Neodiprion lecontei: one gene and its partner. The protein of the gene in region 1 purifies or fractionates together with the protein of each later gene. This does not show direct contact. Links are inferred from orthologs where the notes say so. Each region holds a gene or a part of one and is shown on either strand. Other genes may lie near its edges. The genes, in order: threonylcarbamoyladenosine tRNA methylthiotransferase and MIP18 family protein galla-2.

What was found.
Region 2: the proteins of threonylcarbamoyladenosine tRNA methylthiotransferase (region 1) and MIP18 family protein galla-2 purify together in Homo sapiens (affinity purification with mass spectrometry; 3 studies listed by BioGRID and IntAct, with this or other methods). This does not show direct contact. The link is inferred for Neodiprion lecontei from reciprocal best matches to the Homo sapiens genes CDKAL1 and CIAO2B.

What each region holds. Positions count from the first base shown.
Region 1 is NC_060264.1:19,946,883-19,952,494, forward strand, and holds threonylcarbamoyladenosine tRNA methylthiotransferase, read right to left. Parts: upstream 3,422-5,612; 5' UTR 3,226-3,421; coding exon 1,588-3,225; 3' UTR 501-1,587; downstream 1-500. UniProt on the Homo sapiens protein: Catalyzes the methylthiolation of N6-threonylcarbamoyladenosine (t(6)A), leading to the formation of 2-methylthio-N6-threonylcarbamoyladenosine (ms(2)t(6)A) at position 37 in tRNAs that read codons beginning with adenine.
Region 2 is NC_060261.1:37,580,790-37,584,340, reverse strand, and holds MIP18 family protein galla-2, read right to left. Parts: upstream 1,698-3,551; 5' UTR 1,599-1,697; coding exon 1,478-1,598; intron 1,395-1,477; coding exon 1,315-1,394; intron 1,230-1,314; coding exon 960-1,229; 3' UTR 799-959; downstream 1-798. Other genes in the region: mitochondrial inner membrane protein OXA1L, read left to right, coding at 8-280, 357-519, 599-762.

The DNA of each region.
Region 1 (5,612 bases):
ACAGGGTGACGGGTAGCATCCCGGTTTTTTCTTCAAGTACTCGACCTCCCCTATCAATTGGTACTAGTTTCAATCGTATGTTCGATGAGGGAAGTTGACCTCAAAAAACTGACCGGAAGTGAAAATTTTTTTTGACACTCCGGACAGGATCCATTGTCTATAAAGTCTGGCACTCTATTGACCACTATATTCCCCATCGATTCATATGCATTTTGGCCGTATGTTCGATGAGGGAAGATACGGTGCGGTCGGCTCCTGGACTAGTATTCTCAAACTTGAAATTCCTTGTTGTGAACATAACGACTGCCTTAGGTCTATAATAAAGCGAACAAATATGAGTAATTCTCCGGGCCATTTAACCAATAAATTTTTGAATAATCATGTATTTAAAAGTTAGTAACCGATTTTACCATTCAATCAAGTGATAGTAGGTACAGGTGGAAAAATATCCAGATTAGCTTGAAATTGCTTTTTCTATTACTTTTGTAATAATGATTACCTAAAGTTTACCGGGTTTTATTGCAACATGGACTCAAGTGTTACTAACAATTGTGCATTCTTTACGAGAAATTTAACCTCAATTAAAGCATTAAAAATTGACTTTCTGTGCCAGTCCCATTCTCCTGGTGATGAACATGTTAGTCATGTATCTCAGAAAGCTTACAAGTACATAAGTTACATAGAAATATAACTATTTAATTTCATCCCTTTATTATATTACTCCTTCGCGCTGCTTGACGATGGTTTTATCTTCTAAATATTACCTTAAATTTTGTATCTCTTCTAGGAATTTATCTTGGCCTTTTTCGGTTACGGAAAGTCCCATTTGGCTAGCAGTCTTTATAAATCTTTAGTAAACGCCAGAATTATGAACATGGGTCAGATTGGAACTGGCTATGGGTGTATTAATTAAATTGTGAAATTGGAAAATGGGAAATAATTTGACATGAGATACTCGTGAAAAAGTAAGATTGTCATCTTTCTAGTGATCTATTCACAATGAATTTACTAGAATAAACAAAATCGCATTTTAAGCAATTAAGAACTTTGATCAAGATGTAAAAAATATATCGGATCAGTTTACTACTGCCATTACTATGCACATCTCGATCATAAAATTATGAAATCGATACTTAGGATTATTTGGTATTCAATTTACTAGTCAGACAACAATCAAGCCAAAGCTTTGGCAAGAAACCATTTGATGTCGCAAAATTCTTTGTCCTGACAACAAACAAAACGAAAGACATTTGGATTCCCTAATATGAATTTCAAACAATAGATTTTCAACCATCGGATATCTATTTAGAGTTTTGGCTTTCGTATTGTCAAGAATTTATACCTCACATGCCAAGCAATATTTACATAATAATAACAGTTATAATAATTTTGAAATTCGTTGAATTTCGAAATTATAAATACATCTGAGTTTACGAAATCGTCATATCAATAACAGTTATATACAGTTACATATTTACATGGGAACAAATAAATAAATATAATTCCGCATTGTTTCTTTTAATAGTGAAAATGATTCCAGCAAAAATAAACAACACGGACAAATTCTTTATCCTAAAATAGTGATAATCAAACGTTTAAAAGTTTCCATAAAAATCTGGCGAACACTGCCAAGAAAATTGCAATGAGAGCAAACAGTCTGTATTTGGATGGTTCGGATTGTTTGGTTTCGGCAACTTCAATAATACCGGAGACAATTCCTTTGGGCAGCGGAGTTCTGATCGACGCAGAGATTCCTTCATCGAGCGGCTGTCCTTTCATAGAATGTTTGGTGGCGGATATGATTCGAACCTGAACCATCTTACCCATGAACCCATCCCTCATGGGCACCAAAACCTGTTCATAGAACTTGTTGTGCCCAACGAAGTGTTTCTTGTCGTGAGAAATCTCAGTGACGAGAACATTTTGAACCTGGCCAACTTTGTGACCGTACGGTTCGTAGGACTGAAAAAATTCGGACAACTTTTTCGTTCTCTTTTTGACTTCCTGAGCAGGAACCTTGTCCATCCTTGCAGCCGGAGTTCCAGGCCTGGGATAAAACTGGTTGATGAACAGACTTGGGAACTTGTACTTTCTGCAGAGGATCATGGTGTCTTCAAAGTCGTTGTCTGTCTCGGTAGGAAAACCGCATATTATGTCCGTGGCAATGGTGACGCCAGGTACCCGGGCTTGCAGGAAATTAACAACCTGTTCAAAGTCAGCGCAGCAATACTCTCTCTTCATATCTGCGAGCACCTGATCGCTGCCCGACTGAACAGGGACGTGCAGAAAACTGTAGACTCTGGGATGTTGAAGAATTTTGCCCATCTCTTCAAGGTGCTCCAGGATGTAGGGGGGGTTTGTCATCCCGATGCGCATCATGCAGCCCTCGGGCACGACTTCCACGAGTCTCCAGAGGAGCTCTGGAAGGCTGGAGCCGATATCACGGCCGTAGGTCCCTGTGTCCTCAGAGGTAAGCCAGAGTTCACAGACGCCCTCGGAAAAGGCCTGCTTGGCACGCTCAATTATCTCGTCTGGTTGATAGCTGCCCAATTCGCCTCTCGCGTGCTTTGTTTTACAGTAGGTGCACTGGTTCAGGCAGCCTGTGTTTATGGCGATGATCTCGATCAGTGGGTTCCGCCTGACTTTCGGCAGGGCCAGCGAAGCTCCGCCGATTTTCTTTCCCTGCTCTTTCTTCTGACCCAGAAATCTAACCGAGTTTCCTTTCAACGTCTCCTCGACCACCTCGACCACCCGGTCGATCTGCTGGACGCCAATTACGCTCAGACCGGACAGGAAACCTGTTTTCGGTGCACCCTGAGGCACGCAGCCAGCGACTACAACGTGCTTGCCGCTGCATCTGCCGAGCTCGATTTCATTCCTGAAATGATCTTCGGCTGGGTTTTTTACCGTGCATGAATTTAACAACCACAGATCAGCCTGGCTTTTGTCCTCTGTCAAATTATAGCCGTACGCTGCCAGCTGACCAGCCATGTATTCGCTATCTGAACTGTTGTGCGTGCAGCCCCAGGTCTTCACGTAGATTGTTTGCGTGCCTGGAATGACGCTGGACAGGATTGTAGCCTCCGGAGCTTCGCGGATGTCTTTTTTTCGCTTGGCTCGCACTGTCACGTTTTTCTTGGTGCTGTAACGCTCCTTCGGCGTTATGTCCTGGGATGATATCAGGTCCTCGATGTCGTCTATTATGTCACTGCAGGGCGACGACATTTTGGAGGATATTGTTTTTTCTTAGATATTTTCGTGCGGATTCGAAACTGTTCAGCGATTGAGATGAGTATTTGTTGAGGTAATGTGATTTTCCACAGAAATACAGAAACTACGGCTGTTTTGTTTATTTTATAGGTTAGGATCGACTAAGTTAGGTTATCAGAAAGACGTGTAGTGGAGAGGACATGTGGCAATTGGTACGACAGAACTTATCTAGGGAGACATTGTCTGCTTTACCGACGAAAACGCTTGTTACCCGGCCAATTCAAAACATTCGATTTCATTCGAATATTTGAACATCGCCTGGATTGGCGCTGTCTGCCTGTGGTTAGAAATTTCTAGTCACTCGGCAGAATGCGCTCGTCGTTCGGCTCCAACCAGTGGTTGGAACACAAGGCAAGTGTCACAGAGTCAAAATCGAGTCTATTAACATGCAGGTATTCTCAAGGAGTAATGTGAGTCCGTTTGGTTAAATGTGTTCGGGCAGTGTAGAGCTCCTTCTCAGACATGATTTTCCATAATTATTCAAGAATACAACAACAGTTGTTATTGTACTATTTATTGATGTATCAACTTTCAGCTACTCGTACTAATTGTTATATCTTTTATTATTTACAGAATCAGCCGCACGCACCTCGAAACGTAACTTGACAAGAAGCTCTATCTTTAAAGACCTCAATTTACACCAAGAGAATACCTTTAATTATTGTATATAACTTAGTTCTACGCCTGAAATCATGAATACAATAAAACAACACGTATTGTACAAAAGTGTCAGGCTAAATAATTTAAGGGGGTGTCCTAATCGATTTCGATGTGTCTTGCATATGTACCTTCAAATATCAAAGTCTACGTATCTCAAACGCAAAAATGGTCTTAACAGCCCCATTGTATACAAAATTCTGAATAACCACACACCAACACATTTTCATTCGACGCAGAAATAAAGAAATGGCATAGTTTCTATGTAATCTCAATGGTAAATTCATAGAATTTATGCCATTTCTTTATTTCTGCGTAGAATGAAAATATAATGGAGTATTCTTGGTCAGAATTGCATATAAAATGGTCTTGTTAAGCCCTTTTTCGCGTTTGAGATACGTGGACTTCAACGTTTGGAGATATACATATACGTTAACATCGAAATCGACCAGGGCAACCCCTTAAATTATCCGGAGTAAAAAAAATTCTATGCACAGAAAAAAAACGTCGAGGCGAAAGCATTCAATTTTACAAACACGGAAAAACGTAAAGAATGTGATATTTTTGGGATAGAGAATTTATTATCTGTAAAATACTTATTAAAAGCTCGAACAACTGCAAACCAAAAAAACCGGAAACGACAAGTAAATCGATAAGACATAGTGGAAAAAAGGTTTGAAACAAAAAAACAAAAATTGCATTTGTCTGCTATAGTTTTTGAATCGTTGACCCTCGTTATTAAGAACGATGCGAAAGCGTTTTCCTTCCGGAGAATACGTAAATATGGCACATACAGAACTGATTTTTCTCGATTCTCGAAATCAGCAGATGATTTGAAAAGGATAAGAGAGGCCTTAGCTTTCGCTATAGACAAGGAACTTCTTGTCTCCAGATAGATTTGTATCCACACTCTCACAATAGCCAGGACTTCTTAAGATCGAACAATTAAGTAGTCAACTAGGGAATGCAATGAGATTTGTGTAGTGCCATTAAAATTCTTATTCGCAGTGACTTCGGAATAGTTAAGATTGTTTCCTCTTGAAACATAACGTCGACGTGACTTATTGGAGAATCCATTCTAGCAACGTTAAACATAACTGAAATCTTCGTCAAGTATGAAAACATAATTTTATGCTGAACTTTTTTCGATTTACTTAATTCTACATTGCAAAAGGATGGGAGTAATCCTATGAAAATCGTTCCGGACAGTCATTCTGTTTCGACATTTTTAGAGCCCGAAATCTATCCGTCGAATAATCGATAGAACGCGATAGAAATCGGGTAGAACACGTTTCTGAATGATTGTCCTTAGAAATCCGAAGGGGACATCTAGAACACCGCAAATTCAATGTCTGAGAAAATACAAAGGGAATACTTAGGTATTTTTTTCGGGCGTAATTTTTGACCCGCTGTTCGCAGCGAGTTTAAACGGTGCGCAATGGATTTCTATCAAGAAATTACTTCCATATGGCGTCTGAATGAATTACTTTCGACATTTTTCAAAATCAGCGAAGAATGAATCGAAAAAATACAAAGAGGTTAACTTTCCTTTTTGTCTCAGAATCAATTCAAATAACCCTGTCTGATCGAATTGGACTCCAAGGAATGCAGAAAAGGCATTGAAAAATATCGAAGGGTCGACAACTCGAGAAATTACAGAGGAAACCTTTCGTTTTTTTACTGTA
Region 2 (3,551 bases), on another chromosome or scaffold:
CTTACAGGCACCATTTTTTGTGTCGTTTTTCATGGCACTCAGAGGTATGGCAAACGCTCCAGTGGAAAGTTTGCGCACAGGAGGTCTTTGGTGGTTTACAGATTTAACTATTCCTGACCAATACTATTTGTTACCGCTGATAACTAGCGCTACAATGTATGTAACGATAAAGATTGGAGCTGACGGGTTAAAACTGGATACTTTGGGACCTGGATTCATGGCACATGCGATCAAAGCAATTCCTATCATTATGTTTCCATTCATCATGCATTTTGACGGAGTAAGTTGGTAATTGAGAGTAGTAAAAAAAAATTGTGTTGCTCACTATCTTCATCCAACTTCCACCTTGATTTCAGGCTATATTAGTTTACTGGACTGCGACAAATTTTATATCTTTAGGTCAAGCTATGCTTTTGAAGGTTCCATCAGTTCGAACCTTTTTCAAAATCGAAGCAACTATTAAGCATGCACCGACGCAACTTGCTCCCAACAAAGGATTTGTCAAAGGATTCAAAGAATGTAAATTATTATACAATCGATTTCCAGTCTGTTCGGTTTGTTATTCTGAAATCCTTCAACCAAACTACCATTGTTGCAGCTTGGTCCAACATGAAACTGGCTGGGGCATTACAAGACAGAGGCGAAGCAGATCACATGGAATTTGAACGGGCTGGACGGGGGCCTGTACCAAAAACGTATAAATATAATCCCACTGCGCAAACACCACCACCGACACGGATTATGGCCCGGAAACGGGATTGAGTTGTTGTAAATATATTGTGATAATAAAAGGAAAACTTTAGCCATAACTTGCCATTTGTTTATTCCATCCGATTCATATGAATTCCAATAGAATTTTTACATCAAAATTATACTCTAGTATTACATGTTATATACAAAACTGTACATTACTCACTAGTAAGAGTGAATTATTTTTACATCTAGCCGACGTAGACCATTTACATTTTTGCGGCAATGCATTGATTGATTACTTCAATAAGGTGATTATTTTCCAGTGCGGCTGCAACTCTTTCCTTATCTGCAAGCTGCTTGTTTACCGCTGTCTCAGAGGCGTGCGTTCCGGGCGTTATTTCCACATTCACTTTAAACCTTGATGGCAGGGCACGCAAAAGTTGGACTCTGATAGAGAGACCGATCAATGTTGCCATGCTGCAGTGAGGTATCGTAGGCGTGAATTTAACGTGGACTTTATTGTGCTTATTATCAACCTGAAAGTAGCCGCATATCAGAATGAAACTCCTGGTCCATCGGGTTGAAGCTGCTAAAGGCGACCTAACCTAAGTAGCTACATACCTCTATAAGGCTTTGTTCAACAACGTTCAATTCCTCCAGAGTTAGAGGGTGTTCCGGATCGTTGATGTTGCGAATAAGATCTGTAAATTTTCATGAATCTTAGATCCCTACTAATCACGTGAGCGTGAGGCTACGGGCTAAAAGTGCGAGAGGTTAGAATTACCGAATATTTCTCGGGAGTCAAAGTCATCGACAACATCCTCGTCTTCGTCCTCAGCTGTGATTTCCCTCTCATGAACTTTTTTATACAATTTTGGATTAGTGTTTTCTAATTGATCAGCCATTCTTTCCTTATTAATAAGTGCAAATCGTGCAAATCAACACGGTACCCGATGGTATTCCGACACCGAGTTAAATGCGGAGCTATTATTTATTGTCAACGAGAATTAAAAAATTTTCGCGAGATGGCGCTGCTAAACGTCATCCCTAAGGTTCACCCTCGTAAGGTTATGCATCGCTGATGTGTATGTCATGCTGCGGAATACAGGGGCAGAGGTTTCATCGCTGTTAAGTATTACCTACGTGGATCCCAACAATCGGAAAAGAATAGAAACGGATCGATTAGCAGAATTGTGAATCCCATTTCTTAAAGTTTCCGAATTAAGCATGAGTCATTCCAATGAGACACTGTTCGTTTTAATCTGTTTATTCGTTTCTATTCGATTTTATCTGTTCTTTCCTATCCCGTCATATTCGCGACAATGCCACCTCTAACAGCTTGTTCGTTTCAATTATCTATCTAGAATAAGGGATGGAAATTATCAATCCGATTCAATTCTTTCCATCCGAATTGATTCTTTTCAAAGAATACGAAACATCCGTTTGGATAAAGAAATCGGAATAGATCGTATTGAAATTCTTAATCCGTTGCTATTCTTTTCCGATTGTTGGGATATATTTTTGCCATTTTTTTGATATATTCCACGTTAACGCACTGAATTAAAGAGCTGACGATAAACCCGGCGTGCCAAGTAACTAAAGAAATAACCATCTGAGAACTATGCAATGATTTTTGTAAGGAAGATTAACATTAGTTATAATGATATATGGACAAAGGATTCCACGTGGAGTCAGATAATTTGAACCCTTACCATTTTTTATTTTGTTGAAACTTTTTTCGGTAATAGTATCCTTACGACCAACAATTTTTTTCCTTTTTACTTTTACCTGAAAAAGTTTCAACTAAATTTCGAATGATTGGAATTAAAATTGTTTAATTTCGTATGGCATTTCCCGTATGCGTGTATATCATTTTCTGTTTGCAGTAGGTAATAACAACTGGAACTAGGCTGAGGCGCTTCACGAATACTCTACATTGATTCAACGTTGCAGGTCTTAAAAATAAAGAGTATCGAGCGTATGTTTCGCATTGTAACTACGAAAGTATATTACAGGTCTGGCTGGCTCTATACCGTCCGGACGGTCGCACCCTTCGGCAAGAATGAAATATAGGGTCTGTAGTCGAAGTTGGAGCCTATAGATATACAGGCCATACCCTACGTTGCAGTTGATGCGCGAACCCCAAGGGAAGCTGGGGGGAAGTCGCGGGGAGGAGAAAGCTAAATTACCCGCAGCCGTCTGAGGGTGGAACGGCGTAAAGTGTGGCTGGACTTTGATTACTTGCATGCGACGCGACGGTTGTGCAAAAATCGTTTCGGTGTGTAAGCGTTTCAGTTCTGCCGAACACCTACTGAATCACGATTTCCAATTATTCGGCTAATTCGTCCTTTTTTTTTGTCTTCTTCTGACCAATTTTCGAAGGCAAAAAAGAGGTTTCAACTTTCGACAAATTTCACCGACTATTACAATTGTGGATAATATATGCTTACTTTTATCTCACACTAATTAATCTCTGAAATGATACGCGCGAATCGTAGACGGGATTGAGAACTAATTAGCAATCCAGCGAGGTGAGAGCAGAATTTGGCTTCATTCCACTGTCACTACGTAACGACTACCCGGTACCCAACACATACATGCTCAGCACAGATACACACACACACAATTATAGGCGTGGCTTTATCTACATTGGAACGGCAATTACGTCAAGTTCAAGGTCATAGTAATAAGAGCTCGTGAGAATCAGAATCGCAATGATGAGAGGAGAAGTGATATCTATATGTATACCTTCATATGTTATCTCAATTGCGAGTTCGGCATTTCTTGCATGCCATAAGTATCCATACCACTCCAATGGCCTTTCACCTCTAACCGCTGGCCTCTCTTGCGGCTAGTCT